3 linked regions of the Elephas maximus indicus genome follow. Each later gene encodes a partner of the first gene's protein in a complex. Links are inferred from orthologs where the notes say so. Each region holds a gene or a part of one and is shown on either strand. Other genes may lie near its edges.

Region 1 (11,421 bases):
CCAAAGGGATAAGATTACCAGGGGCCATTATGCTGAACGGGAGAGATGGCCTGGGGTTTTGTATTTCATATCCCTGTTTAAAATGTACTGTGTGGGTAGATAAACTGCTTACTGAAGTTTCACAGTAACATTTAAGCTCCTGGGGGAAGAGAAACAAGAGTGTCCTCCAACATAGGGGCTGCAGGTTTCCGTGAAATGAATTCGAAGCTCTGCCGCCTGCTGTCAGCTCCCTACTTGGGAAGTGGGAGCTGAGAGCTCTGGCAGGCAGCAAAGAGTCCATTCTGAGCTTGAGCCCAAGCACCCAGCCCTGGGTCGCCAAGCACAAGCACTAAACTCTCTTAAGAGTCCTTTGTGGCCTCTGGTTAAAACAGCCGCTTCTGCTCTTTCCTGTCCACCAACTCCTTGGCCCCACCTGAAGCTGCTGCTTAGAAAAACACCCACAGACTCACATTTTAGTCTTAGCATTTACTTCCCCCACACCAGATTCTTGGAACTGTCTTCATGTAAGCCCAACAGGAAACAGTGCTGAGTGAGAAGGTGCTGGTTTTATCCTCTTGAAGTAGCTGTTGGAGCTGCCTGGGAAGAATACATGCCGCAGGCAATCAGAGAGATGCTGGGAGTGTGGGTGGTAGCCGGTTGGCCTGCTGCCTGCCCAGCAGCTTCCAGAACAGGTGCCAGGTTGCTGCTCAAGTCCCTCACAGTGGCGGGGGCAGGGCTTGGACCTCCTCGAGGCACTCGTCATAGGCCTCCTGATACTCCTCATGGGGCTTGACCATTATTACGCAGGTGGGGCGCTTGGAGCCAGCCGCTGCTCCCAGGTCCTACAGAGAAAAAGATGGGCTATTTGGGAAAGAAGGCCACACAACCTGTATGCCAGGAGTCACAAACTGATGAAGGGCAGTGATGGAGAAGGGCCTAATCTGGTCCACACACAGGAAAGAAACAGAAGTGCAGAGAGGTAACTTACTGCACCCCAATGAGGAAGCAGCAGAACTAAGAATGGACTCAGGCCTATCTTCACTGCAGAGCTTGTGTTTTTTTTCCTACTAGGCAACCCCTCCCCCAGAGCTGACCAGGGTTGGCAGGGTCATGTGCTCCTTACCGTTTTAGAGGGAATATAGACATAGGGCAAATTCCGGTCCTCACACATAACTGGTAGGTGGCAGTACACCTCAACGGGCAGTGTGTCTCCCGCCAAAACCATGATCCTAAAATGAAAGAAATCACGGTCATTTCTGGCCTGTTCTTCCTTTTGGAATCAAGTGCTGCCTCAGGACTGGGTCTTGGGGATACAGAGGCAAATGAGATGACCTTGCCTTCAAGAAGCCCAGTTACTAATATTGGAATGTAGCCTCTGAAAGTGGGTGCAAAATTGTGTGTTTGGTTGAGTGTGTTCTTCTGAAGAGATGGTCTTTATTTTTTTAATCACAGTTTCAAAAGTATGTCTGACCCAAGAAAGCTGAAGAAGGACTAAGCAGTAGAAGCTGACATGGCAACGTTTATGCCACCAACTGGTATAGTGCTGGGACAGGAAAGGTGTGGCGGGAGGGGGGGCGGGCCCCAAGGAATAAGTGCTCAGCTCTCCTAGGAGACGCAAAAAAAAAAAGCCTGAGGAGGTGACACTTGAACTGAAGGTTGAATGATGTCTGTCTGCAACCATGGTTGGATGGGGCACTGGAGATACGGAAAGCATTCAAAGCTGAGAAGCAGAATGGAACCACAAAACACGGGGGTTGTTGGCCACCTGGGATGGATTTGCAATCCAGGGGTAGTAGGGTGGAAAAGAAAGCTGGAGAGACAGATGGGGGCCATACCTGCCAGAGGGTCTTGAGTACCAAGGCTAAGAAGCCTGGGCTGTGTCCCATGAGTGATGGGAACCACTAAGGGCATGCCAGAGAATCCTCGGGGTTCTCGACTAGCAAGGTTTGCCTTGGGGCTCTGGGCAAGGGCCACAGGAGGCCTGAAGACACAGAGGGACAGGCAGACACAAGAAGTCTCAGTTCAAAATGCTGTTTCTGGAGAGGTGGAGCCAAGATAGCAGAATAGACACTTCGGTGAGCCCTCTTTACAACAGAGACCCAAAAAAACAAGTGAAACGAGTATATTTATGACAAGCTAAGAGCCATGAGCATCAAAGGCAAGCTTAGAAAACGAACTGAGGGGCAGGGGGAGGAAGAGACAGTTTACCAAGTTATTGGACCTGAATCGCGAGGAGCCCTCAGGAACCATTCCCGAGAGCGGCGGCTCGGCCGCAGTTTCCTCAGGGAGAAGCAGCCAGCCACACAGCCTGCTCACACCTCTGGAATCTGAGGAGAACGGCACTCTTGGCAAAAACTAAGTACTTGCGTATAATTTAACCCCCCCCCGCCCCGGACCCCCAGCTGGCTTCAGCAGCTGAATTCCCTGGGCCTGAGATAGGCCCTGTTGAGCACCTAGAGCCATCCTCCCGGCCTTGGTGAAGGAATAAATTTGCAATTAGGGGAAAAGATAATTTGCCAGCTCCACTAACCGGGGGAGCTCAGGACAGAAGCAGCTCCCGTCCAAGTATAAACAGTCTGTGGACTTTGAGTACCTTTCCCGTCTGCATGGACCTGGGTGAGCCTATCTCAGGAGAATAGATCCTTGTTGGCAAACTCCAACTGTTTCAGCTGTGCGGCGGCAAAGTGGGTGCTTGATGTTTGACATTGCTTTGCCTATTGAACAGGGTCCTCACCTACCCACATCAGGGGCCTAAGGACTGGTAGCTCCACTCAGGTCACCCAGCCACCCGCGACAGGGGTCCAGGGATAACTGGTACCTCCCAGTCCTTACAACCAAGAACACTGGGTGCCCATGGTCCGTCTGCAGAACCCACCCACCTGTACACTCTAGGGAACAGGGACAGGCTTTCCTCAGAGACACATGGGGAATGATTCTTAGCCCCGCCTTGTTCAGAGCATGACCCCCTGCTGCAACCAGATACTGGTATCTACACCAATCATCCCTGCCCCTCTAAGACTGTAGGACAGAGCCTATACTAACACACTTGATGATCAGCTACCTGGACACCTGAGCTGAAGTCATACAAGAAAAGTGAATGGACTTCTAGACTAATACACCTGATAACAACTCTAACCATCTGGGAAGAGGACGTCAGAGCCCCAAAGGCAGAAATAATCAAGCTAGCTCACTCAGGCAACCCATTTGGGCATATCAAAACAAAAAGCAAGAAGCTATGACACAGTAAGCAAACATAAAATTAATAAAATAACTTACAGATGGCTCAGAGACAACAGTCAATATCAAGTCACATAAAGAAACAGCATGATCACCTCAACAAGCTCTAAAAACAAAGAATCAAGGGATCTTCTAGATGAAAGTGCCTTCCTGGAATTACCAGAGGCAGAATACAAAAGCTTAATATACAGAACCATTCAAAACATCAAGAAGGAAATAAGGCAATACGCAAAACAAGCCAAGGAACACAGAGATAAAGCAATTGAAGAAATTAAAAAGATTATTCAGGAAAATGCTGCTTCTGTATTCTAGTTTTCTTTTGGCATCTTGGCCTCTACTACTCTTCCTTTAAGTGTTGGTGTTCCCCACACTGTGTGCTGACAACTCCTAAATCTGTTCTCTCCAGCCCGGTCCTCTCAAGCTCCTAGCCCACGTGGCCACCTGTGCTGCTGAGTAGCACTGGGGGCTGCAGAGGGGTGTTGGGGGCTGGGGGTGTGTATCTCAAAGGGACCTAAAAAAAACTGTCTAAAACCAAACTTGAGATATTCCCACATAAACCTGGCCCTCCATTGTTGGCTCTCAGTGAATGGGGCCCTCCATCCATTTGGCTGGGCAAGCCAAAATCCAGAAGTCAATTGCAATTCACTCTCCATATCCTAAATCCTCTCAAATCCACCCACTTTCATTCTCTCCATCTCCCTCACCTCTTCTGGACTACAGTAACCTTCCTAGCAAGAGTTTTCCCAAATCTACTCTTGTCTCTCTAATCCTTTCTTTCTTGGATTGAGAAATGTTAAGGCATAAATATAATGTCACTCCCTGGCTTTAACCCTTCAGTGGTCCCTAAAGACCAAGTACAAAAACTAAAGTCCTTACCATTGTTCATAGGCCCCTCTTGTGGCTGGAACCACCTCCTTCCCCCTCATACCTCCATCAGCCCCTGCATCTTCAGGGTTCAGCTCAAATAAAACTCCCTGATGCACGACCTCCCCGCGACCCAGGTCAAACTAGGTCTGACACCCAACTGTGCACCAAATCCCCCAGCCTTATTTCTTGAGCATCTACAGTGTGCCAGACGCTGGGGATAAAGCAATGGGAATCCCTGTTCTCAAAAAGCTTATGGTCTGGACTGCGTGGGAGGCACTGGAGATAAAAATGTAAATACAAATTTCAGATTCTGTTAAATGCCAGAAAAGAAGCAGAGGAATGAAGTCTTTCTCACGGCACTTTTCCTTCGTGATTATCACAACCTGTAACTGTGTTCTGATTATTTGCCCAATGTCACTGCATCCCCATAGGCAGAGTGCTTGACAAAGCCCTCAAAAAACATTTAGTTGCTAAATGAAGGGAGAGGGGTCTATCCGAATTGAATTAGATGATACGATTAGCTTCCTTCTGGAGTTCACTTTGCTCATGGGGTCCCTCTGAGCTCCTGCAAATGGTATGTCGGTATCTATACTGAGTGAAACTTACCGACTGCTTTATTATAGGGGACAGTCAGCCCACTCGACTTTTACAGAGCACCTAAGTTCACCGTTTAGAAACGCGAAACGTGGCGGAGAGGGGAGTCTCACCCTTTTTCGCCTTTGTTGATAAACTTCTGAACCTCCTTCACGCCGCGCCGAATCTGCTTCTGCTTCACGGCTGCAACGACAAGAGAGTCAGTCGGGGGTCTCGCACCGCCCCCGCGCCCCGCCAGCCCCCGCGCCCGCTGCACCTTTCTTGATGCACTTGTAAAGCTTCCGCGTGAGGCGGCGGGAGGCCAGGGGCTGCGCGATTGGGTTCAGGTTGACCAGCAGCTCATGGTACGTGCGTTCCCCACAGGACGCCTCTGCAGGAGCCTCCGGCCCGTCCGGGTCTGGCTTTATTTTGGTCATAGCGGCAGCCACGGCAATACCCACGCCGACTCCCGGGAGGCGAACCCACGCGGCAAGCCTCTGCAGAAATCACTTCCGGGTCGTCCCACTGTGCGGGAAGCCAGCCGTGCGCTACAACCAATTGGGAAACTAGGTTCAGGCCAATCGTTGACGGAGAGGGAGGCGGAGTCTTGGCCCTAGGAGGCGGGGCCACTTCTATTGGACAAAGCGGATTAGGGGCGGGCCCGGGGGGGGAAAAAAAAAAAGAACTAAGGCGAGGGGCGGGGCCTAGGGGGTGGGGCGGGAATAGCCTGCACTTTCCTATTGTCTCCTATTGTCTGAGAGTGGGGGTCGCGGGGAGCGGGAACAGGAGGAAGTACCTGTGGGGGCGTGGCCATGCCTGACGGAACGGGATCCACGCCCGATGGGCGGGGTGTGCGACCATAGTGCAAGAACTGGAAATCTGTGCTAGCGTGATTCCGGACCAATTTAGTTAGGTCTGAAGTTTCAGGTTGTCAGTGCGGAGCCTGGTCAGGTCCCGGCTCCTGAGCTGGTCCTGGGTAGTGTCTGAGTGCTAAAGGTAAAGCCTGACACTGCTAATGGTAAAGCCTGACACTGCTAATGGTTTCTTCCGTTTTTGCATAGTGTCTCTCCATTTGCTTTCTCATGGCCCGCGTTGCACGGCTGTGGAAGGAAGATACAGAGCAAGGAATGGCCCCACTCGTTGACCGCTTTTCCCTAGATAGCCCCTGGGCTCGCTTCGTGTCTTCCTTCAGGTATCTGCTCAAATGTCACCCCATAGGACAGGATCCTCTGATCACGTTATCCAAAGCTGTGGCCCCTTCCGGCCTCCCACCTGCATCCCTTATCCCTTTTATTTTCTTAATAGTTCTTACCACTGTGCCTGGCATTTCACACATCGCTGAGACAGAGCTGGGTATGAAGGACAAGGGAGGGAAAGGCATTTGGGTCTGAGATTTGGGGCAAGAGGGGTGCAGGAGAGCGCTGAGGAGACAGACTGATTTGAATGGATCTGTAGAGGGATGGGGGCGCTGGTCAGGTGAGCAGGCCTGGGCTGGTATGGATCTTGGTATCTTTGACATAGTTCTTTGTCTTGAAACCAGACCAAAAAATCCAAACCAGTTACCATCAAGTCAGTTTGGATTCTTGGCGACCAGATGCGTGTCAGTAGAACTGTGCTCCATAGGGTTTTTAATGACTGGTTTTTGGAAGTACATTTCCAGGCCTTTCTTTCAAGGCACCTCTGGGTGGGTAGATTTGAACCACCTTTCGGTTAGTCGCCTGCTTGATTAATAGCCTTAACCTTTTGTACCACCCAGGGACTCCTGTCTTGGAACACACTGGCTGGATATTAATTAGATAATTGCTACCAATTAATTGCCTTCGATTATTCAGTGGTAGGCCTGCCATTTTTGTGGTGATGTAACAGGTCAGTAAGTGGAACTTTTGAAGTGTGTGGGAGGCCATGGAGTTGGAGCATAGGTCAGTTAAGCCAACTTGTCCAACTTAAAAATGTACTTATAAAATTTTTTTGCTTTGGAATTTCCTGAGGTGGCCTCTTCCCGATCCTTAGGTTGACAAGTCACTCTCAGTTTTTGCCTCACTGCTGACAACTTTGCAGTAACCATTTCCCACCCCCAAAATCTCCCCTGCCATGCCCTTCCCCTGGCCATCCTGGAGCAGCAGCTCTGCTCCTCGCTGGGAAGGCCTCTCCACGTGGTCTGCAAGGCTGTGAGACCAGCTTTGTGGTCTCCTTTGAACCTATGGCAGGGTTTTCTGTTCCTTCCCAAGGGACATTCCTATGAACAGATTCAGTCTTGTAGGACTGGTATGAAAATGTACCAGGGTCACAAAGATGAGAAGCTCCCCAGATGAGTGCATGGGGCATGATGAACTGTCCAGGGGAGCAATGGAGAAATTCTTCTTGGAGAAACCTAATTCAAACATATTTTTTTGGTTGAGGCCTTGACCTCACCAAGGCCTCAAACCCATTGTCATAGAGTCGATTACGACTCATAGCAACTCTATAGGAAGGAGTAGAACTGCCCCATAGGGTTTCCAAGGAGCAGCCTGTGGATTCCAACTGCCAACCTTTTGGTTGGCAGGCAAGCTCTTAACCATTGCGCCGCCAGGGCTCCTCTTACACAGAAGGAAGAGGGAAATGAATGTTTGTGTCCCCAGCATATTACATGTAATATCTCATTCAATGCTCACTGAAAATACCATTATTATTCACAGTTTACTGAAGCTCAGAAAGATGAGTAGCTCGGTTCAGGTCATACAGCTAGATTTGAACCACGGTCTGCTTGTCTCCAAGCCCAGACTCTCCCCATACTAGGGGAGTTGGTTTTAGTGCAAAGATTGTGAAATGTGGCTGATAGTGAAAGTGTAGGAACCTCAGTCTGGCCAGGTCACAAGTGTCAGCTTTTTTGTGTCCTCAGTAAACCACGCTGTGTATTTCTAAAGCCAGCTTCAGAGGTCTGTGCCAGATTCAAGGTGGTTTGTATGATTTTTACCAATTTTTTTTGTTAGAATGGTGATAAAGGATAAAATCAGAGGCTTCTGACAGTATTTGTAAAATGACTGAGCTAGCTAACTCTAAGAGCTCAAAGTAACCTTTCCCCCTTACTCTACCTTTGTTGCCTAGAAACCAACCCCTATTATTGTTAAGGAATTAAGTTTCTCTCTGGTCAGGTTAAAGAATGTGAATACCTCCCAGAAACTCATTTGTTCCCTGATGGAAGCTCTTTGTTCCCAATCTCCTCTAGAGATTGACGCTCTGAGCAAGGTAACTTTTAACAGACCACTCCGGAAATTTTCCATCATGTCATTGCTTTATTACCAACGTGAAGCCCCCCCTTGACCCCATGCCTTTCAGTTATGTCTTTTAGCCAATAGTGTATTCACATAACCAGTAATGTCAAAGATTATCCGTTACTTTGTCTTACCTTTGACTGACTTCAGTCAGTGTAAACCAATCAGAATATTGTGTTTTGTACTTCCTCCTCCAGCCCTATAATCTCGTGCCTCCAATTTCTCCCCCTTGGATTCACCTGTTGCATTTGGTGGGACGCCACGTTTTCTTGTTGCAGTGTTTTTTTGTGCTGCAGCTGGCTCTATTCCCTCAATAAAACTCTTTCTTTACTTTGGATTTTAACCAGGCTTTATGATTTTGCTCTACGACAATGGTCACACGAGCTTCCATGAAGCAGCGTAGAGTGGGTGAGAACATAGTGACTCATGGGCAGTAGACCAGAGTTCTCAATGTCAAATGTTGTTGTCATTAGCTGCCATCAAGTCAGCCTTCAACTCATGGCGACTCCATGTGTTACAGAGTAGAACTGCTCTATAGGGTTTTCTTGGCTATAATCTTTATGGAAGCACATCACCGGGCCTTTTTTCTGCAAGAGCCTCTGGGCAGATTTGAACCGCCAATCTTTGGGTCAGCAGCCAATTACAAATTGTTTGTACCACCCAGGCTCCTAAATGCCCAGTGACTTTGTACAAGTCGTTTAACCTCTTTGGGCTTTAGTGCCTTATCTTTAAAGTGAAAAAGTTAGGCCTTGCTGGACTAAGGTCCCATCTTTTAAAAAATTGAGGAGGATTTTTTTTTTTTAATATACTTCACATACTGTATAATTCGCCCACTTAAAGTGCAAAATTCAATGACTTTAATATATTCACAGAATTGTGCAACCATCAAATTTAGAACATTTTCATCACTTCAAAAAGAAACCCCATAATTTTAGCTATCACCTCCAAACCCCCCAGCACCCCCAGCCCTAAGCGACCACTATCTGCTTTCTATTTTCTATGGATTTACATATTCTGAACATTTCATATAAATGGAATCGTACAATATGTAACCTTTTGTATCTGGTTTCTTTCAGCCAGCATAATGTTTTCAAGGTTCATTTGTGTTGCAGCATGTGTCAGAACTACATTCCTTTTTATGGCCAAATATTATCCCATTGTATGGATATACCAGATTTTATCCATTCACCAGTTGGTGGACATTTGAGTTGTTTCATCTTTTGGCTATTGTGAGTAGTATTGTTATGAACTCTCATGGTCAAGTTTCTATGTGGACATATGCTTTCATTTCTCTAGGAGTGGAATTGCTGGGTCAAATGGTATATTGATGTCTAACTTTTTGAGAATTGCCAGACTGTTTTCCACAGTGGCTGCATCATTTTACATTCCCACCAGCAACATATAAGGGTTCCAATTTCTCTACATCTGTGCCAAAACTATTACAAAATCTAATAATGTATCTCTTAAACACTTGCCAATACTGGTTTTGTTTCTTAATTTTATTGTGGTGAAATGTATATTAAAAAAGCTTGCCATTTTAACTGTTTTTAAGTGTACAAGTCAGTAATATTAATTACATTCGCCATGCTGTGCTACTGTTGCCAGGTGGAAACCCCAGGTTCTGCTCTGCGTGACTCGTCTCAGCCAATAAATGAGAGACTGAGGTGGGAGAGTAGAAAAGAGCCTTTATTTCGTTGCACAAGGAAAGGAGACAGTCGGGGCTGCTGCCACCAAGATTGCTCAATGAGGGTTAGGGGGATGGGTTTACAAGTAGGAAGTTCATACGGATTATATCAACAACATTCTTAATCGAACTGTGAAGGCACAATGAGGTTTGCATATAACTTCATGCATCTCATGTTTAGAAAATGGCTGCTAAACTACACCCAGAGGCAGGGAAGTTACTGTGTATAAGGTCTAAAAATGTATCCTGAATGTCAACATGGCACCTCAACCAGTTTCCACCAATTTCCTCTAGTTTTAGGTCAACAGATAAGGAGAGGAAAACCAGGATTTTAATGTAAAGTTAAGGAGCATACCAAGCAAAGGAACCAGGATTCTAGTGTAAAGCTACGGGGCATGCCAAGAAAGCTGCTTGAGGCAGTGGAATTGTCTGCAGCCTGGGGACCTCTGTCTTACTACCATCACCACTGTCAATTTTCAAATGTTGTACATTACCTCAAACAGAAGCACAGAATTCCTTCAGTAATAATTCATTCCCTCTTCCCCCCAGTCCCTAGTAACCACTAATAAATAAGCTTTGTCTCTATGCATTTGCCTATTCTAGATGTTTTATATAAGTGGGATCATACAGTATTTGTCCTTTTGTGTCAGGCTTATTTCACTTAGCATGATATTTTCAAGCTTCATTCATGTCTTGGCATATATCAGAACTTCATTTCTTTATGGCTAAATAATGTTCTATTACATGGTATAGATATACCACAATTTTTTTTATCCATTTGTCAGATTTTGGGCACTTGGGTTGTTTCTACCTTTTGGCTATTATCAATAGTACTGCAATGAGTTTTGGTATACTTGCATGTGTTTGGGTCCCTGCTTTCAATTCTCTTGAGTATATACCTAGGAGTGAAATTGCTGGGTCATATGGTAATTCCATATTTGACTTTTTGAGGAGCCGTCTGTTTTCCACAGCAGCTGCACCATTTTACATTCCCATTAGCAATGGAGGAGGATTTCAATTTCTCCACATTCTCATCAACATGAAGCACTTACTGATGAAGGTCAAAGACTACAGCCTTCAGTATGCATTGTACTTCAATACAAAGAAAACAAAAATCATCACAACTGGACCAGTAAGCCACCTCATGATAAATGGAGAAAATATTGAAGTTGTCAAGGATTTCATTTTACTTGGATCCGCAATCAACACCCGTGAAGGTAGCAGTCGAGAAATCAAACAACACGTTGCATTGGGCAAATCTGCTGCAAAAGACCTCTTTAGGGTGTTAAAAAGCAAAGATGTCACTTTGAGGACTAAGATGTGCCTGACCCAAACCATGGTATTTTCAATTGCCTCATGCATGTGAAAGTTAGACAATGAATAAGGAAGACTGAAGAAGAATTGACAGCTTTGAATTATGGTGTTGGTGAAGAACATTGAATATACTGTGGACTGCCAGAAGAATGAAGAAATCAAGCATGGAAGAAGTACAGCCAGAATACCCCTTAGAAGCAGGGATGGCAAGACTTTTTCTCACATACTTTGGACATGTTATCAGGAGGGGCCAGTCCCTATCATGCTTGGTAAAGTAGAGGGTCAGCAAAAAAGAAGACCTGCAATGAGATGGATTGACGCAGTGGCTGCAATGATGGGCTGAAGCATAATAACGATTGTGAGAATGGCACAGGACCAGGCAGTGTTTCCTTCTATGAGTTGGAACCGACTGGACTGGGACCTAACAACAACAATAGTGGAAGTGAAATGGCATCTCATTGTGGGTTTGATTTGCATTTCTCAAATGACTAAAGACTTTGAGCATCTTTTCATGTG
Region 2 (10,811 bases), about 190 Mb from region 1:
TCCTAAAATCTTCTTAAAACTAAGCAAGAGTTTAGCTTAACTAATAAAGAACGTCTGCCTTGAGCACTGTGCTCTTTTAAGAACTACCTGTATGGGATCCATGGTAGTGCAGTGGTTAAAGAGGCTGGCTGCTAACCAAAAGGTCAGCAGTTCGAATCCATCAGCCACTCCTTGGAAACCCTAAGGGGCAGTTCTACTCTGTCCTATAGGGTCGCTGCAAGTCAGAATCGACTCAATGGCAACGGGTTTGGTTTTGGTTTTTTATATGGGATCAAATTGACAACAGCAACTCAAAAGATTAGACAGGAACCTTGGGGACAGTGAGTTTATGTTAATAAGGGGAGAACAACTCAGAGAAGGAGGGTGAGAATGGTTATAAAACTTGAGGTATATAATCAATATCACTGAGTTGTACATGTAGAAAACTGTTGAATTCATTGTTTTGCTGTGTATATTCTCAACAATAACAAAATAAAATTTTAAAAGAGAAACATAAGGAAAAAAAAAATGTGTTGTGGGAAGGGTGCCCTGGCTGTCCACTCAGCTGGCCCCCAGGATCTCTCAGGGACCCTGAGACACGCCCAGAGCCACCTTGGGCTGCTTCAGGCGGATTTCAGTTGGGATCTTTGGGGGTGGGGCCTAGGTGTTTTCCGAGCCCCCACCCTAAGTGATTCTCATGTCCAGCCAGAGTGGACAAACGCCCCTCCAGTAGACGACTCCTTCTAGGAAGTCTCTGCCGCCCATTTGTCCGTCTGTCATGCTGTGGTGGCTTGGGTGTTGCAGTGACGCTGGAAGATACCCCACCACTATTTCAAATATCAGCAGAGTTGCCCATGGCAGACAGGGTTTAGTGCAGCTTCCAGACTAAGACAGACTAGGAAGAAAGGATTGGCGATCTACTTCCAAAACACCACCCAGTGAAAACCCTATGCATCACAACAGAGCCTTGTCCAGCCCACTTGCTTTGGACACACCATCAAGGATCAGCAGCTGGAAGAGGACATCATGTTTGGTGAACTAGAGGGTCAGCAAGTACAATGGAGACCTTCAGTGAGACGGACTGGCACAGTAGCCTCCATGACGGACTCAAACGTACCAATGATCATAAAGATGGCACAGGACAGGGCAACATTTCATTCTGTTATCCATAAGGTCACCATGAGAACAGATGGCAACGGACGACCGAGGTGAGTTTTCACTGCTGTGCTCGCACTATGGCAGGCAGGGAAGGCTGGTGCAGACACAAGTTCAGGGCACCCATCCCCAAGCAGGAGTGCTTTCAATGCTATCCACCCTTGATGAAGGTGTGCTGGCTGGGGGTTGGCAGAAGGGAAGGCTGAATGAGGGCTGGCAGGAAGAAGCCTGAAAACCAAGCCCAGAACATCAAAGGGCAGGAATGCCCCAGGACCCAGCTGCCCAGAAAACGGAGAGGGACCAACCATACCCCAAGTACTCACAAGGAGCTGCGCCAACTTCTCTACAGCAGGTGAGAGCATCCTGCCACTGTCCTCTGTTCCCTTGTGACCCTTCTCTTACTAAAGGATGGAATTGGGCAGTTGAAGGAAGCATCCCTTTTATCCCTCCTTCCTCTGTCCCATCCTGGCCTGGCACAGCAGATGCAAGATGAAACCTAAATACGAACGAGTGCACTATTGGCTCACAGATGCCTCCATGAAACGCAGGAGCCTCATCTCCCAGGCCCCAGGAAAAGGGGGTTATCTTTCCAATCGGCTCCTTTTCATCAGCATTGAGCACCAACTTGAGGCAATAAGCCCTGAAGTCAAGAAGGGGATTAGGAATAACCTGCTTGCACCTTCACGAGGGTTTCTGGATACTTCTACCCAATTGTCAGCAATCCCACCCCACTGCCTCTCCCATTCTACCTGTTCACTGCTGTCCTCGGTGTCTAGGACCGGACCTGGATCCACAAAAGGGTGAGCGCTATCCTTGTAGAAGTACGCAATGGGAGAGGGGGAGATAAGGGGGAGAGAGCGGATGGAATCCACGCACCAGCCTAAGGGAGAAGCAATGTGTGTAGACAGCAAGGTAAGAAGGGCTGAGGTTTCAGACCACCTGGCCACTTGCTTTCCTGAGTCCCTTTGGCATTCCTCACAACTGGACCAATGAGCAACATCATGATAAACGGAGAAAAGATTGAAGTTGTCAAGGGTTTCATTTTACTTGGATCCACAGTCAACAGCCATGGAAGCAGCAGCCGAGAAATCAAATGATGCATTGCATAGGTAAATCTGCTGCAAAGAACCTCTTTAAAGTGCTGAAAAGCAGGGACATCACCTTGAAGACTAAAGTGTGCCTGACTCAAGCCAAGGTATTATCAATCTCATCATATGCATGGGAAAGCTGGACAGTGAATAAGAAAGACCGAAGAAGAATTGACACCTTTGAATTGTGGTGTTGGAGAAGAATATTGAATATATCATGGACTGCCAAAAGAACAAACAAATCTGCCTTGGAAGAAGTACAACTAGAATGCTCCTTAGAAGCAAGGATGTGAGACTGCATCTTACGGACTTTGGACATGTTGTCAGGAGAGATCAGTCCCTGGAGAAGGACATCATGCTTGGCAAAGTACAGGGCCAGCGGAAAAGAGGAAGACCCTCAACGAGGTGGATTGACACAGTAGCCACAACAATGGGCTCAAGCATAATAACGATTGTGAGGATGGCGCAGGGCGAGGCACTGTTTTTTTCTGTTGTGCATAGGGTCGCTATAAGTCAGAACCGACTCAATGGCACCTAACAACAACAACTACGGCGTTCAGTTACAAGCCTCTACTATCAAGTAGCCCTGAACCATATCACTTGGGAGCACCTCCTCACCTGGGTGCACCTGCTCACCTGGGTGCACCTGCTCACCTGGGAGCACCTCCTCACCTGGGTGCACCTCCTCACCTGGGTGCATCATCTCACTTGGGAGCACCTCCTTATCTGGGTGCATCATCTCACCTGGGAGCACTTCCTCACCTGGGTGCACCATCTCACCTGGGTTCACCTCCTCACCTGGGTTCACCTCCTCACGTGGGTGCACCTCCTCACCTGGGTGCGCCATCTCACCTGGTGCACCTCCTCACCTGAGTGCACCTGCTTGCCTCTCCTCACCTGGGCTCCGCCGCAGCCACTCACAGTCCTGCACTTTCATCTTCCACATCAGCTCCTGCAGGGAGAGCTTGGCGTGCTTCCCCAAAGAGATGAATGTCTTCACGTTCCTGAGGAAGCGGCACTTATTGTGACTGGAGCCCCAGAGACCAGGGGGCACCAGCCGGTGAAGACACGCCCGTACGAACGTGTACACCTGCCAGGGGCTGCTGTGCTGGCGGAGCAGCTGGACCACGCACTGCAGGCCAGCATCCTCCTCAGGGGCAGGCTTCACTGCAGGCCCCGGGGGCTGCTCCGGGGTCCCAGTACCCGCCCCGCCAGTACCCGCAGGGGTGGCCATGGCCGAGCCCAGCCTCGGGCAGTGCGTCCTGAGAAGGACGCTGTAGGGACACCGCGCGTGGTTCCCAAGCAGCTCCTGGAACAGGGGCCGCATTCGCCAATAGCGCGGGGTCAGGCGCCGCAGCTGCGTCTTTCTCCACGCCGGCTTCGTGCGCAGAAAGATAGTCTCCACTAGCCTTCGGGCCCCAGTCAGATTGCCCTGCAGGGAACTGAGGAGAAAGGTGCTTGGCAGCCTCTCCTTGGCCCCCAGGCAGTAGAGAAAGCGCTTGGTCTCCACGTATGCCTGGGGAAGCAGTGACAGTGGCGGCTGCGCGGACGAGGGGCCTGCCCCACGCTCCTTGACCCCCAGCGTGGAAGAACGACGCCTTCCAGCAATTTCACCCTCCCAAGACACGGCTTTCGCGGCGGCTCTCCTGCCAGGTGTCACCGCGTGGGGATCGCTGTCACTCTGCCCACACGCCCTATCCAGGTGGGCCCAGGACTGTGGTACCTGCCCTGGCTCCAGGGCTAGGCTGTGCCTGGATCTCTTAGCCAATGGGTGCCGCTCACCCGCGCTGTCCCAACGCCGCCTCGTGCCCCCCACGGTTCTTCGCGGGGCCCCGCAGCCCGGCTCCGGCCCCCTGGTGTCTCGCCCGCAGAGCTCGTAGAGCGGCAGCCCGCACACCTGGTAAGCGCAGCTCGGGGCCACCAGAAGGTAGAGCGAGCAGCGCGCCAGGAGGTGGGCCAGCACGTCATCGCCCACGCGCTGCAGCAGCAGCCCCCAGGCGCCGCTGCCACGCAGCGTGTCAGTGACCGTGTTGGGCAGGTAGCTGCGCACGCTAGTCGTGAAGGCCATGGGCGGGCCGCCGCGGGCCTCGTCCAGCAGCGCGAAGCCGAAGGCCAGCACATTCTTCGCGCCGCGCTCGCAGAGCCGCTGCACGACCCTGGCCACCAGCTCCTTCAGGCAAGACACCTGGGGAAGAAACAGGAGCGCCTGAGTCGCGGTGGAGCGACCGGACTGCCGCGGTCCCCCTTGAGTGACGCTCCCAATCTCCCCGTCCCCTGGTGGCCCACCTGGCGAAAGGAAGGGGCCGTAGGGGGCGGCGGCGCACCCCAAGGCACGCACACCAGGCACTGGGCCACCAGCGAGCGGAAGGCCGCAGGGTCCCCGCGCCGCACCAGTCGCCGGCCCTCGGCCCCCAGGCGCTGCGCGAACGTCGCCAGCGGCAGCACCTCGCGGTAGCGACCGCGCAACAAGGCGCGCACCGCCCGGCAACGGGGCGCGCGCGGCATCCCAGGTTAAAGACCGAGCGGGGGTCCAGGGGAGGCGTCCCACGTGCTCCCAGCTACCGGAGGTGGCGACCGCGCGAGGAAGAGGTGCAGGCTCCAGCGCGTGCCGCAAAGAGGTGGCAGGTTCCGGGAGGAGGAAGAGGCTCAGGCTCCAGCGCGCGCCGCGGATAGGGGGCGGGGCCCGGGGCGAGGGGGCGAGGCCGAGGCGGGTTCCGGGGGAGGAAGAGGAGCCGTTTCCTATGCGCGACGAGGGGATAGGGCGGGGTCCGGTACAAGGGGGAGGAGCCCGGAGTGGGAGGGCGGAGTCCGGGGGGCGACGGGGTGGGGTTCTCTCCGGAGGAGGTGGCTCAGAGCAGGTCTGAGGTGGGCAGGCCCGGGATTGAGCGAGCTGGTAAACGGGGAGGCGTGTCCTCACCCAGATTACCTTTCCATCTGACCTGCGGAGTGGCAGTAGTTTCTGCTGTTTGCGCCATGGTGTCCACGAGGACCTGGCGCAGAAATGTTTAGGGACGTGTCCTGGATTGTGCCGCTGCCCTGGGCGGCCTGGGCAGTAGTCTCCCACGAAGGGGCGGACAGCAACCATTTCAAGGCCGGTGCCTGGTCCAGAGGCAGCAGCAAGGGCCCCACTGTGGAGAGGGCCTTAGTCAACCAAGGCCCTGGGGTTACCTGAGGGTGAGACGAAGTCGGGCTGGGGTGCCTGGGGGACTCTGGTGCATTCTGCGCCCGCTGGGGGAGAGGGGCCTTGTGCTTCACCACTTTTTCAACTGAGCTCTGAATGAGCCCGGGGGATGGCTGCTGGGATTTGGATGGAGCAGGGTCTGGAAGGAGCAGGGCCGTAAGTCCACCAGTACCTGCGAATGTTAGACCATTGAAGATGGGAGAAGGGCGACATGGAAGTCAACACTCACTATGGAGGGTAGGAAGGCCCTGTGAGCACAACACAATGGCACCAGGAGGGCCAGGCAGATGCTTCCAGAATGCTGTCTCCTGGCAGGAGGGAGAGCAAGCCCTGCCCCTCCAGGGAACTCTGTCTCCTTGAGTCCTAGCCCATACATACTCTTGGCCGTATTTCCTCTTTTTGGGTTCTTAGGCTTCTTTTCAGAGCCCTGGGAGCACAGTGGTTAAGTGTTCAGCTGCTTACCAAAAGGTCTGGCGGTTCAAACCCACTGGCTGCTCAGAGGGAGAAAGATGTGGCAGTCTGCTTCCATAAAGATACAGCCTTGGAAACCCTATGGTGCAGTTCTACTCTGTCCTGTAGGATCGCCATGAGTCAGAATCCACTTGACAACAATGGGTTTGGAGGGGAGGGAGGCTTCTTGCTGGTACTGACAGTCAACACGCCAACCTGGCTCCCTGTTAATAACTCTGGAGAGTGGGTCCCGTCGAAGGACAGGAAGAAATCCCATGTTCCCTGTGGGGCACTGGATCCACACACATGCGATGACTCACTCAAGAGCCACGGAGTGCCTCATCGTCCCAGTGCACAGAGCTGGAGGCACCATCAAACAGGTCAAAACCAAAAAACCAAACCCAACCCACTGCTGTCAATTCTGACTCATAGCCACCCTGTAGGACAGAGTAGAACTGCCCCATAGAGTTTTTCCAAGGAGCGTCTGGTGGGTTCAAACTGCCGACCTTTTGGTTAGCAGCCATAGCTCTTAACCACTACGCTGCCAGAGATTCCTAGACAGGTCAAAGGACCTCGGTAAAGCCACGAAGCTGCTGGAGAAAATGGCCCAGGCACTTCTGACTTCAAGCCCACCCACAGAGACCTGCAGCCACCTGTGTAACCCCCTCTCCAGAAGTGGGATAGCAGTTCCTATGATGTCTCATTGTATCAGCACCTCCTTCCAAGAGAACAACTTAGAGACATAATGAAATTCTATCCAGGCCCAGACTTCATGGGGTGTTCAAGTTTGAATCACTAAGAAATGGGAGAATTTATGGGTCTCAGGAGGCCTTGTGGGGATGATATACTTAAGTCTGGTCAACACTACAATGCTGAACAAATGTACCCTTTTGCTATGTTAAGAAACTCGGAGGGGAAATTGCTTTTTATTCATGACTGTAGCATTTAAACAGCCTCTGCTGCCTCCCTTGACAGAAAGGTTCTTCATATTTATCACGCTCACTGGGTTGTCTGGCCCAGCCTTGTAAATACTCAGGATTAGAGGAGACTATTTTAGAAATTCCATTTAGTGAGCACTGCAGAAGTGCTTTTTAAGGGCTATGTTTGAGAACTGCTCATTTCTGCCACTAGAGAATTTGGCACTGTTTGAAAATTTGTTCTTTTCTGACAAAGAAGTTACTCCTTGGCTCACCCAGAAAATCTTCAGTAATAAAGACTAAAAAACCTAGCATTAGAAAACAATGACTTTTTCAAATATATGAATAGAAGAAACTGAGGCAGAAAAGTACACCCATGGAATAAATACCATGTCATTTGTAAGAAGGCTTTTCCCAGCTTCTAATGGAAATTGTTAATATCCAAAATAATGCTGTTGTTAGGATCCGTCAAACCGGTTCCAACTCATAGCGACCCTACGTGCAACAGAACTAAACACCGACCGGTCCTGCGCCATTCTCACAATCGTTCTTTGAGCCCATTCTTGCAGCCCCTATCTCAATCCATCTCATTGAAGGTCTTCCTCTTTTTCTCTGACCCTCTACTTTAATAAGTGTCTTACACAAATACTATAAATGGGTGGCTTTGACAAACAGAAATTTATTTTTTCACAGTTCAGAAGGCTAGAAAGGCGAATTCAGGGTGCTGGCTCTAGAAGAAGGCTTTTTCTCTCTGTACCCTCTAGAGGAAGGTCCTTATCTCTTATGAGCTTCTGCTCCTGGACAATCTTCTTGTCCCTTGGCATCTCACTTCCCCTATCTCTGCTTCTTATCTTGCTTGTTTAACCTCGTTTGTGTCTCAAAAGAGATTGACTCAGGATACACCTATACTAATCCTGTCTTATTAACATAACAAAGACAGCCAATTCCATAGGCATGTCATTGTTGTTGTTAGGTGCCTTCCAGTATGTTCTGACTCATAGAACCCTACAGGACAGAGTAGAACTGCCCCATAGGGTTTACCAAGAGCAGCTGGTGGATTTGAACTGAGGACCTATTGGTTAGCAGTTTACCTCTTAACCAGTATGCCACCAGGGCTCCAAAAACCCTGTGCTGTTGAGTTGACTCTGACTGTGACTCATAGCAACCCTATAGGACAGAGTAGAACTGCCACATAGAGTTTCCAAGGAGCACCTGGTGGATTTGAACTGCCCACCTTTTTGTTAGCAGCTGTCACACTTAATCACTATGCCACCAGGGTTTCCAACCATAGGCAAAAAGATTAGGATTTACAACACACATTTTGGGGGGACATAGTTCAGTCCATCACACAAAGCATGATGTTCTTCTCTAAGGATTGATCCCTCCTAATAGCATTTTCAATATTCTTCACCAATACCATACTTCAAACACATCAATTCTTCTTTGGTCTTCCTTACTCACTGTCCTGCTTTCACATGCGTGTAAGGCAATTAAAAAATACCATGGCTTGGGTCAGGCACACCTTAGTCCTCAAAGTGACGTGTTTGCTTTTTAAAACTTTAAAGAGGTCTTTTGCAGCAGATTTGCCCAATACAATATGGCATTTGGTTTCTTGACTGCTCTTTCCATGGGTGTTGATTGTGGATCCAAGTAAAATGAAATTCATGACAACTTCAGATTATTACATGAACAGTTAACTGTCTTTGAAAAGCTAATGCTAATCTTAAGCCGTTACATCAAAAAACATGCGAAAAAAAAAGTTAATATTGTTGGCTGACATGTTGCTGTGATGCTGGAAGCTATGCCACCAGTGTTCAGATACCAGCAGGGTCACCCATGGAGGACAGTTTTCAGCTGAGCTTCTAGACTAAGACAGACTAGGAAGGAGGACCCGGCAGTCTACTTCTGAAAAGCATTAGCCAATGAAAACCTTATGAATAGCAGCAGAACATTGTCTGATATAGTGCTGGAAGATGAGCCCCCCAGGTTGGAAGGCACTCAAAAGACAACGGGGGAAGAGCTGCCTCCTCAAAGCAGAGTCGACCTTAATGACATGGATGGAGTAAAGCTTTCAGGACCTTCATTTGCTGATGTGGCACTACTCAAAATGAGAAGAAACAGCTGCAAACATCCATTAATGGTCAGAGCCTGGGATGTACAAAGTATGAATCTAGGAAAATTGGAAATTGTCAAAAATGAAATGGAACGCATAAACATCGATATCCTAGGCATTAGTGAGCTGAAATGGACTGGTATTGGCCATTTTGAATCAGACAATCATATAGTCTACTATGCTGGGAATGACAACTCGAAGAGGAATGGTGTTGCATTCATCATCAAAAAGAACATTTCAAGATCTGTCCTGAAGTACAACGCTGTCAGTGATACACCTACAAGGAAGACCCATTAATACGAATATTATTCAAATTTATGAACCAACCACTAAGGCCAAAGACGAAGATACTGAAGATTTTTATTAGCTTCTGCAGTCTGAATTTGATCAAACATGTAATCAGGATACATTGATAATTACTGCTCATTGGAATTCGAAAGTTGGAAGCAAAGAAGAAGGATTGGTAGTTGGAAAATATGGCCTTGGTGATAGAAACAATGCTGGAGATCGAATGATAGAATTTTGCAAGACCAGCGACTTCTTCATTGCAAATACCTTTTTTCACCAACGGCGACTATACACATGGACCTCGTCAGATTGAAAACAAAGGGATCAAATCGACTGTATCTGTGGAAAGAGAGGATGGAAAAGCTCAATATCATCAGTCAGAACAAGGCCAGGGGTCGACTGTGGGAGAGACCACCAATTGTTCATTTACAAGTTCAAGTGGAAAATGAACAAAATCAGAGTAAGTCCATGAAAGCCAAAATATGGCCTTGAGTATATCCCACCCAAATTTAGAGACCATCTCAAGAACAGATTTGACACATTGAACACTAATGACTGAAGACCAGACGAGTTGTGGAAGGACATCATACATGAAGAAAGCAAGAAGTCATTAAAAAGACTGGAGAGAAAGAAAAGACCAAGATGGATGTCAGAGGAGACTCTGAAACTTTCTCTCGAATGTCAAGCAGCTAATGGAAAAGGATGAGTTGATGAAGTAAAAGAACTGAGTGGAAGATTTCAAAGAGCAGCTCAAGAAGACAAAGTAAAGTATTATAATGACATGTCCAAAGAGCTGGAGATAGAAAACCAAAAGGGAAGAACACGCTCTGCGTTTCTCCAGCTGAAAGAGCTGAAGAAAAAATTCAAGCCTCGAGTTGCAATAATGAAGGATTCTATGGGGAAATTATTAAACGACATAGTAAGGATCAAAAGAAGACGAAAGGAATACACAGAGTCATTATACTAAAAAGAATTAGTCAATGTTCAACCATTTCAAGAGGTAGCATATGATCAGGAACCGATGGTACTGAAGGAAGAAGTCCAAGCTGCTCTGAAGGCATTGGTGAAAAACAAGGCTCCAGGAATTGACAGAATATCAACTGAGGTGTTTCAACAAACGGATGCAGCACCAGAAGTGTTCACTCATCTATGCCAAGAAAAATGGAAGACGGCTTCCTGGCCAACTGACTGGAAGAGATCCATATTTATGCCTATTGCCAAGAAAGGGGATCCAACCAAATACAGAAATTATCGAACAGTATCATTAATATCACTCATCCACCCACCAAAGCGACCCTTAATATCACAGGCAAGCAAAATTTTGCTGAAGATCATTCAAAAGTGACTGCAGCAGTATACCGACAGGGAACTGCCAGAAATTCAGGCTGGATTCAGAAGAGGATGTGGAACCAGGGATATCATTGCTGATGTCAGATGGATCCTGACTGAAAGCAGAGAATACCAGAAAGATGTTTACCTGTGTTTTGTTGAGTATGCAAAGGCATTCGACTGTGTGGTTCATAACAAATTATGAATAACATTGCAAAGTACGGGAATTCCAGAACACTTAACTGTGCTCATGAGGAACGTGTATATAGATCAAGAGGCAGTTGTTCGGACAGAACAAGGGGATAGTGAGT
Region 3 (9,880 bases), on another chromosome or scaffold:
GAGGTCCCCAATTCTCTGCTTCTCTTTCATCTTTTGAGAGACAAATGTGGTGCAGGCCACACCCCAGGGAAACTCCCTTTACCTTGGATCAGAGGTGACCTGAGTAAGGGTGGTGTTACAATCCCAGCCTAATCCTTTCAACATAAAATTAAAATCACAAAATGGACCACACATGGTCTAACTGAGTTCAGAAAAATTTTGGGGGGGACACAATTCAATCCATGACACCTAGTGTTTTCCCTACTATGTTTATTGTCACTAGAATATTTTTCTTAGTGTGTTTATTTAATGCATAGAGGTGTTCAATAAATGTTGACTCAGGAAGGGTTTTTTTTGAAAGTTATTTGCTATAGCTTTGATCAAGAAATTTCAAAATTTCAGCCCAGAAACTATCTTGGCTTTGCCTGGGTCCTTGCTCCTCATAAGTGAAATTTTTAAGCAGCATCCTTAGAAATGGATCAGAATTGTATTTAAGACTTCCAGGTAAATAAATTCCTTTTATCAAATGCCACACAAAGTCCAAATTCCAGTTAAAAAGATCTAGGTAACAAAGTCAGAAATTCCCACTTAAAATGCAAAACACCTTAACTTGATCCTTTATAAAGTCTGTGCTTCATTTTTTAAGCTCACAGCTTTCTTACTAGCGAGAAATCTAAGAATTCAGTTTTCCCTCAGACAGGCCTGCTGTTCACTCAAACCTTTATAAAGAAATGCTGGATTTTTTTGACACCTGATTTGTTTCCTTCCGGTGTATTTATATTTACTTACATGTACCACCTAATACCAACAATACCAATATACTATACTCCTTTCCCTGTCTTTGAACACTAATCAAGCTCTATAAATGCCATGTAATAACAATAATTGTAGAGAAACCACTGAATTTGAAGTCAGGAGACCAGGGTTCTCCCCTCTTTGTATAATGTTAGTAAAGTTGTAATAACCAGGGATCTCTTAAGTAAAAGGTCCTCAATATATGCAATGTCAGTCTGCCTTTTCTCCTTTATTTAGATTAGGAAAATTTCCAGGCCAAAGTCTCTTCATTTCAGTCTATACGGCAGGTAGCAGAGAAACAAGGCTCCCTCCTTTTTTTTTTTGTAAAATAAAAACAGGATTGCAGTCAACATTAAAAACAAAAGTGTGCTGTCACATTATAGGGATCGCAACTAGCGTCACATAACAATATGTGTATAAATTTTTGTACAAGAAATTAACTTGAGCTGTAAACTTCCACTTAAAGCACAATAACAACAAAAATAGAAATAGTGGCTGTATTAATTTACTTAGATGCTTAAAGCTTCAATACCAGATCCTTTTTCTAGTCATATGCAGAATTTTTAATATTTCCTAGGTTAGGGTAACTCTTTAAAATCCTTAGGATCCAGTGCTAGGAACACTGCAAGTAAATAGACAAAGAAAGAATAACTCCCTGACAGGAAACAAATAACTCATTTCACCATTCCTCTAGGCCCTGGTGGCACAATGGTTAACCAAAAGACAGGCAGTTCTAATCCACCAGCTGCTCCTTGGAAACCCAATGGGGCAGTTCTACCCTGTCCTATAGGGTAGCTATCGAGTTGGAATCAACTGCATGGCAATGGGTTTGGTTTGGTTTTCGTTCAAAGTAATTGATTCGAAAATCATCTTCTGTTGACTATGACCCAAGTCCAGAGATTTTTTTTCCTCAGCAGTCCTGAACTTTTCTGTGGAGATGGTCAAACAGCAGGGTCCAAAAGAAATGTATCTACTCCTTTTTAGGACCAGTCTTCATAAGCCACATTTCAACTTAAGTTACATCTGCTTCTGGACTCTAGAATTTTGATGTAGTAGAAAAAGAAGACTGGAGAATTAGAATACTACATTTTTCACAAGGAAATTTTTATAAACCAGTGGCACTGAACAAACAACATTCAAATCCAATGTCAAAAGCCATGAATGAGCAGACTGGGAAATAATGGGTTGATTAACTTGACAAGGAGAGGAAGAAGCAACTTAGCATTTCTTGAAGGCTTGGATATAGTATTTTCTCATTGGATTCAAAATCCTTTGTGGGTGCCCATGATAGAAGCTCAAATCCTATGAAATTTCTCCCACTTTTTTTTTTTTAACCATGATACCCAACAGTAATTTGAAAAAGAACAAAAGTCCCTACTTGAATCTCTCATATCTCATCTTCTAAATTAAAAGCCATGTAGAGTTCCACAGTAGCTGCCAAAGAGAATACAAAGTTAGGTGTAGGTAAAAAGATAAATCCTTGATGGACAGACCTGAAAGCCTGGGAATATTTCCAGAGGGACAGTAAACATGTAAGAAAGCACTTACGTTCATAAAGTTTGGACAAACACTGTAGATAAATTTCAATTCACTGAAACGTACCAATTTTAGAGTTGGAAAAGAACTTAGAAATGATGAGAAAAACGAGACCAAGGAGACGAGGTGACTTTACTAAAGTTATACAAAGAGGGGAGAACCCTGGTCTCCTGACTTCAAAGTCAGTGGTCTTCTCTCTACAATTACTGTTATTAGTTTTTCAAGCAACACTTGCATTTTGAGTCAAAATGTCATTTCAAGGGGCAAGAAATTGTTTGAGTGACAACGGGGGTATATTCCAGTGAATGCTGACAGTTGTAGAAGGGTCCTTCTCAACCTTTCTTCCCTTCCCCAGCACCCTCCCGTAAGCTGCTCAAGCAGTAACTGAAGTTATTCTTCCAGGTGATCTTCTTGTAACTCTCTGGGGTATTCCCCTCTCCCCATCTACCTCATGTTTTGCTTTTTAACCAGCCCTTTTCTCCCACAACACACAAAATGAAAGCTCTTTCAAGTTATTTTGTCTTTAATAACATGACAGTGATTCACAATATGAAAATTCCAATTTGTTCCCTTTAAAGGAAATGCTACCGTGATTCCCTAACACCAACAAGATCAAATGCTGAATTCCAAACAGCAAGGGTGGTAAACAAGGCTTGAAGGCTCACAGGCTGCAGAGCTTGGTTACCCAAAGTCTCCAAGGGGTAGCAGACGGCAGAAGAGACACCAAATATGAAGGACTCTCAGAGGACAGGACGCGGTTGCTGGGTCATAAGCACCTTGAAGCGTTTCTTGATGGTGATTCGGTGTCGCGAGTATTTGTCGTCTGGGGAGAACCGAGCAGGATGGGCTGAACAGGTCTGTTGTCCCATAGGGTCAAGCTTCTGCTCGAGGAGGAAACAGAGAACACGGTCTCAGTGGTGGAAAAATTCAATCACCGGCGCCATAAGAAAGATGGAGACTGGGATACGGTGCGGGCAGCGCGTAAAAGGCAAAATGAGATTCGGAGACCCGCGGGTCAGATTAAAAAGTCGCGCGCTCGTGCTTCTACCATACCTCGGGTCTGGGCTTTCCGGTTCCCCTCGCTCTGCTAGGCAACCCGGTGGCGAGTGTCAACACCTCCTTCCACCTCCATTTCTCGCCATACCCACTTACACCCTGTTTCTTCTCCTTACCTTCAGCGTATAGACCCGATCTCCCTCCTCGTTAAGATAATATTGGAGAAACATGACGACACTTAGGCCAGACACTCCAACTGCCTCTACAACCGCTTCTGCCACTCAGTCTGCCCCACTGCCACACGCCTTTGTCAATTTCCTTCCTCTTAAAGCCGGAAGTCTGTCTCAAGGCATGCCGGGAAATGTAGTCCACTGTTGACATCCTCTTCAACTGACCAAAAGGGGGCGCGCTAGTGCAGGATCTGGCCTGGGGCTATAAGTTGCAACTTTGCAAACTTTCTAAAACACGTGCAGTGTGCCCACTGTGTGCCAGGCACTGTTAGGCGTTAGAGGGGGGTGAGGATGGATGCAGGTTGGATACTGGTGAATAGAATCCTGCCTTTATCGCTAGATGCACACCCGTTTCAGGAGTAGTGGGTTTCTAGTGCTTGGTGAAACAAGTGCTCTAGGATTCAGTGCCCCTTTATCTTAGGGGAGAAAGAAGAAAGTTTTCTTCCCTCCCCTCTTTTACATCCGGTTCCCCCGTTCCTTTTCAAAATATTGGCGGTAAAGAGTGCATGATGGGTATTCACTCTTCGGTAGAAAGAATGGAGCGTGAAGTTATTTTATGAAACTGGTGAAGTATGTTTTAGTGATCGAGACAAGATTCGAACTCAAGTCTCTTTACCGCAAATTCAGCGCTTTCTTATATGGTGAGTAGCTAATAATAGCATAATAAGATGCATCTCCTAGGGGTATTTCGAATTTTAAAAGAACGGAGAAATTCTCCTTATATGGCTGTAGCTTAAAGAAACGAAAACTGGAACCAAGATATTACAAAGACGATCATTGCAACATTATTTAAAATGGCAAACACTTTGGAACATATATTAAGTTTATAACCAGAAAAATCTAAAAGCCTTTTTTCTTTTGTAAAATATAGCTTGTATTTGTAGTTGCATAAAATATCTCTGCAAGAATTCACAAGAAACAGATAATATTGGTTTCCTCCGGGTTGGAGAACTAAGGGCCGGGAGGAAGACTTGTATAGTCTATTCTGCACAGTTTGACCTTTGAACCATGCTACTGTATTACTGTATTACCCATTTTAAACATGTACTTAAAGTTATTTTTTAAAATAAAAAATATTTAACAGCAAAATAAATTAGCAAACAAAAATAAGGACTTGCTGATCTTGAGATTTTAGGTTACGTGGCAGTTTTTGATATAGTGAGGCTTTTCAATAAAGGGCATCATTGGGAAGTCAGGGCCTGCTGTAGGCTGTAGAGCTTATGGAAGTGGGCTGTTTGGGGACTGCAGGACAACTTTCCAAGGAAACAGTATGCATAGGAACACCCTGGATCTTCTGAGATGATCCTAATTTCAAATATTTAGTTCCCTTGATCCGTAAGTTCACAAACTATGTGCTCTGAATTTGGTTTAGAAAATATCATCTTCATTGAATTAAGTCAAGGGTCTACAGCCAACCTGCTATTAAGAAGTCAGTTACAGAACTGGGTGAGGTTGAAGGGCACAAAACTAGGTATGTTGAAGGACTGAAAGGGAACCGACTGGTAAAACTGCAGTGTTGGGAGTCTGAGAAAGAATTTACAAATTGTCCTGAAGAGGTGGATATGATTTGTTTTGTCAAACTCTAGTTTAGAGGGAATTCTTGGTATTGTCTACTTTACCAGAACCCTTTATGGGCTAGCTCCTCTTCTCCCCTCCCCCGCTGCGGAATGCCTTGAGCCCTAGATTCTAGTTCTGTTTTGATCCGATCTTTACCCTCCCCTCCTTGGATCCCTGTGTATCTACTGGAGCCAGGTTTCTCTCTGGGTGCTGGACCTGACTGTCTTATTCTGGAAGCTTCCAGACAGCCACAGTTAGTGCCCATACTTGAGGGGATGGCTTCAGATGGAGGTAAGTCTGCAGGGAGTATGGGGGAAAGGGGGGACTCCCTGCCACCAGCTCAGATCTTTGAGGATTCAAATTTGACACTTCACTTGGGGACAAGCCCTTGGGGAGGCTGGGGAAGGAGATTAGATGCTCAAGACTGGGGTTTGGGGAAGGAAAAGAGGCTCCTTGAAGGCCACTCAAGGCTCCTCAGAGAAAGTGTGCTGGGTATAGAGAAATGATGGCAGTTAGCAACTTGATTCTCTCAAAGAACAGAGGTGTGTGTAGTGGGGGTGGCACAGAAAGGACTTAAGGGGAAGGCCTAAGCTTCTGTGTCCTTCTCGTTAGGTAACTGGAGTCTGTCTAGGATTTGCCCTGAGAATTAAGCTGGGGCCACTCTGGATCTTATGAGGAGAGTGGGCCGGGGAATGGGGGGGCAGTGAGGGGTAACCTTAGCCAAAACTGTTCAGTGGGGTTGCCTGTTGCTGAGTTTGCAGAGAAATGTCCTCCTGAAAGCTGGTCTGGAAAGTACTGTAACTACCCCTGCTCAAAAGCCTCATGGCTCTTTCCAGCCCCAGAGATGGTTTCTCTTTCCATTCAGCAAGCAGTTTTCCTGGATTCATCAGGGCTGAGAAGGGAGGTAACTCCAACTGGGTTGACAGCTGGGGCTTCCCTGAGATGCTCTGAGTTGTTTTTACCTCAGGAACTCAGACTTTCAGACCGATTTCATTTTGGCCAGCACTTTGTGGCATACTCCTGGCCCTCTGCTGTATGGTTGAGGTGACGAGTTTGCTCCTATTCCATGTTTCCTTGGCCACAAAGTGGAAGCTGAGAGTTGTCAGTTTGACAACTGTTGCCATGGAATGTTCTTTATAAGAGGGGGAGGACAGTAGCATGAAATTAGGCAGATTATCTTCTATTATTGTTATTGAAAGTTCTGGGAGACACACATCCTGAGTAAGTACACATCTTGTGTATTGGTCCCCTTGACTAGCGTCGACATGAGCTCCTCGTGAGCAGGAACTCTGTTCCAGGCTTCATGGTCCTTCCCTTTGCACACGGTTCGGTCTTAGTGGGCCCTAAATTTCTAGGTTATTAGGAGCTCAAAGCAGAAGAACCACAGACAGTGTCCTTTGCCAAATTTTAACTTTCCCAGCAGTTACTTAGAGCTCCCTCCCTATTCCTCCAGGAAACCCTGGTGGTGTAGTGATTATGCGCTACAGCTGCTAACCAAAAGGTTGGCAGTTCGAATCCCCCAGGGTTCATCGGAAACCCTATGGGGCAGTTCTACTCTATCTTACAGACTCGCTATTAGTCGGGAATCGACTCAATGGCTGTGGGTTTGGTTTGGTTCTATACTTCCCCCCCCATTTTCTCTCTAATCATTCTTGATTTATATAACAAAATTTCTGGGAACCAAATATCTAGTCCACACCACCTCTCCTGGTAACAGCACTTCTGTGAGTGGTGGCAGGGACCACAGAGCAGCTGGGAGCAGGGCTCAGGTTTGAATCTCTGCTTGGAATGGAGGGGAATAGCAGATGTACATGTATGCTGGGTGGGATGTGTTATGGGGTGTAAGCTTCATGGGTCCAAGGGTCCTTGCTCCTGCTAGTCGATTGCATCTTTCTTCTTCTGTGTTTTAGGTCAGGAAAGAGAGGGGAGATTTATAAGGTAAAAGGAAGACTGAGGAGGAGATAGGGCTAATAATCTTTTTGAAACTGCCTCCTTAAGGGCCCTGTGGGTACCTGGAGAAGGGGCAGAACCTCTCTAGACTAGGTCTCTTACACGCTTGTGAGCCTGCTCTGGGCTGTTTCCTCTGCAGAGCTGGTGTCAACCCTGTTCCATGTCTTGGCAAACAGCCTATGGGGCTGGCAAGGAGGTCACAGGCAGTGATGGCTTGGGCTTGTCTCTTCGTGGCCAATAAGGGTCTCCATGTCTTTTTGGAAAGGGAACAATTTCTCTAGTGTAGTAATTCTCAGCTGGGAGTAAAGAACATCCAGATCACTTGTGGGGGCAGTTGCAAACTACATAAGTTCCCCGTCCATGCCTCTTCCCCCACCTGTTGAGAATCAGTTCTCTGGTTCTTTAGTGATTTAGGGGGACCCAGATGGTCTAATGCCAGTCTCCCTCTCTCCTACTCCATCCGCTCTTTTTGTTTGTCTCAACAGCATCTCCGTTGTCAGGACCGGATATGACCATGAAACCTGGCGCTGCCATGTCTCCTTTCCCTGCCCTTCCCTTTCCGCCACCTACTCCAGGCCCACCAGACCAGCCACCCTGGGAGCCACCCCCATGGCCTTCCATGCCTTCAGCCTTCTCTCCAGGCACCCCTCTAGTGCTGTCTGCTTTCCCCAGCCGACTGTTGATGACAGGGGATGGGGGCCCTGGCTCCAGTGGGCCCGGGGCTGGCAAGGTCATTGTCAAAGTCAAGACAGAAGGGGGGCCAGCTGAGTCCCCTCAAACTCAGAACTTTATCCTTACTCATACTGCCCTCAATTGGATTGCCTCAGGTGCTCCTCGCGGGGGCCCTGATGGTCCTCCACCTCAATTCATGACAGCCTCTAATGTGAAGAACATTCTGCCTGCTAAGACTGTTGGGGTGAGCCAGGAGGGGCCCCCAGGCCTTCTTCCTCAAGCTCTACCACCAGCGGCCCAACTGGCCCCCACCGTCCCCGTGGAGAAGGCTTGGCCAGGGCCACATGGGGCTCCCGGGGAAGGAGGCTCTGCAGCTGCCCCATCCAAGCCCTCACTGGGTGACCTCTCCTATACCTCCAAGGGCGTTTATGAGAATTTCAGACGTTGGCAGCGCTACAAAGCCTTGGCCCGGAGGCACCTATCCCAAAGTCCTGATGCAGAAGCTCTTTCCTGCTTTCTTATGTAAGTGGGGAGGCCTGATATTAATTATCCTAGGGCTTTTAAATACGGAGGACTGTGAGGTGATTAGGTTATTTATCTAAGAGTACTTGAAGGCAGGTCATGAGGGTAATGCAGATGCTATGAGAAGATAAAAGCACAATAATAATAATGATAATAAGCCTCTTAACCCACTTCCCAGTTTATAACATGCTTTCAGGTATCTTCTGTCAAGTGGCCCTCATAACCTGTGAGTTCAGGCAGGCAACTTTACCGTAATCCTTACATACAGAGAAGACTCAAGCTCAGAGAGGTTTCCTATCAGAAAGCAAGGAGCTGTGATTTGAATTGAGGTCTCTGACTGCATCATAAAGGGAGGAGCTATGATTTGAATTTAGGTCTTTGATTACATCATAAAGTGAAAAGCTATGATTTGAATTTAGGTCTCTGACTACAAGTGCCGTGATCCTCCTTTTCTCTTTTGCTACCTCTTAACATGAGTTGAGGCTTCCCAACTGGCCAGGACAAGGAGTGCTGGGCCATGACCCATTCCTGCAGGAAGAAAGGACAGTGCAGGGCCAGGCAAAGAACGTTGTGTGTACCTACCCTCACCTGCCCCCATTTTATTCAGGAGAATTCAAGTTGAATTAGGGAGGTGGTAGAGTGTGCTGGGAGTCTCTGGGTGGTGTAATGGTTAGCCAAAAGATTGGCACAGAGGTGCCTAAGAAGAAAGGCCTGGCAATCTACATTGAAAACCTGACAGAGCACACCTCTTCTCTGGCACACATGGGGTGCACCGTGAGTTGGCATTGACTCGACTGCAACTGTTTTGGTTTTTAGAGCATGCTTAGTGGTCAGGGGCTCCACTACTCATTAGATTTGTAATCCTGGCCAGGGCATTTAACATCTTTAACTGTCAGTTCTCTCATTTAAAAAGAGGATAATGATACTTACCTCAGATAGCTGCTGAGAAGATTAAATGTGTTTGTTATAGTGCTTAGCAAAGTGAATGCCTGGTTAAATGGTGGTTGTTGTTGTAGGTCCCTGGGTGGCGCAAATAGTTTGGGCTGGGCTACTAACCTACAAGTTGGTGGTTTGAACCCACCCAGTGATGCCGTGGAAGAAAGGCCTGGCTATCTGCTTTGGTAAAGGTTATAACCAAGAAAACCCTATGGAGCAGTTCTATTCTGTAACACATGGGGTCACGGTGAGTTGGAATCGACTCACTGGCAACAGGTTAAGTTAGGTTAGATGGTTGTTGTTAGCTGCTGTCGAGTTGGCCCTGACTTATGGTGACCATATTCACAGTGGGATTGGACCATTGTGATCCATAGGGTCTTCATTGTCTGGTTTTCAGAAGTAGATTGCCAGCCCTTTCTTCCTAGTCTGTCTTATTCGGGAGGATCTGCCGTGAAACCTGTTCAATATGCACACACACTTCTACTGACAGGTGGGTGGTGGCTGCACTTGAAGTGCATTGGCCAGGAATGGAGCCCAGGTCTCCTGTTAAGCAACCACTGCCTTCCATTAAATGGTAGCTGTTATTATTATTATAAAAAGGCAACATAGAAGAGGAAAAGAACTTAAAATAGACCAAAATATCCTTGCCAAGAGTGTGAATGTGTGAGTAAATGATTAGCAGAAGAGTCCAGGGTCATGTTACATTT

What was found.
Region 2: NHP2 (region 1) and TERT share a complex: the UniProt entries of both Homo sapiens proteins name them as parts of the telomerase holoenzyme complex. The link is inferred for Elephas maximus indicus from reciprocal best matches to the Homo sapiens genes NHP2 and TERT.
Region 3: NHP2 (region 1) and NOP10 share a complex: the UniProt entries of both Homo sapiens proteins name them as parts of the H/ACA small nucleolar ribonucleoprotein (H/ACA snoRNP) complex. The link is inferred for Elephas maximus indicus from reciprocal best matches to the Homo sapiens genes NHP2 and NOP10.

What each region holds. Positions count from the first base shown.
Region 1 is NC_064820.1:198,293,652-198,305,072, forward strand, and holds the start of NHP2 (H/ACA ribonucleoprotein complex subunit 2), read right to left. Parts: upstream 5,203-11,421; 5' UTR 5,094-5,202; coding exon 4,934-5,093; intron 4,861-4,933; coding exon 4,791-4,860; intron 1,209-4,790; coding exon 1,103-1,208; intron 822-1,102; coding exon 696-821; 3' UTR 1-695. UniProt on the Homo sapiens protein: Required for ribosome biogenesis and telomere maintenance. Part of the H/ACA small nucleolar ribonucleoprotein (H/ACA snoRNP) complex, which catalyzes pseudouridylation of rRNA.
Region 2 is NC_064820.1:12,463,755-12,474,565, reverse strand, and holds the start of TERT (telomerase reverse transcriptase), read right to left. Parts: upstream 4,843-10,811; 5' UTR 4,728-4,842; coding exon 4,509-4,727; intron 4,408-4,508; coding exon 3,120-4,407; intron 1-3,119. UniProt on the Homo sapiens protein: Telomerase is a ribonucleoprotein enzyme essential for the replication of chromosome termini in most eukaryotes. Active in progenitor and cancer cells. Inactive, or very low activity, in normal somatic cells.
Region 3 is NC_064828.1:23,976,876-23,986,755, forward strand, and holds NOP10 (H/ACA ribonucleoprotein complex subunit 3), read right to left. Parts: upstream 3,621-9,880; 5' UTR 3,537-3,620; coding exon 3,483-3,536; intron 3,192-3,482; coding exon 3,051-3,191; 3' UTR 2,804-3,050; downstream 1-2,803. UniProt on the Homo sapiens protein: Required for ribosome biogenesis and telomere maintenance. Part of the H/ACA small nucleolar ribonucleoprotein (H/ACA snoRNP) complex, which catalyzes pseudouridylation of rRNA.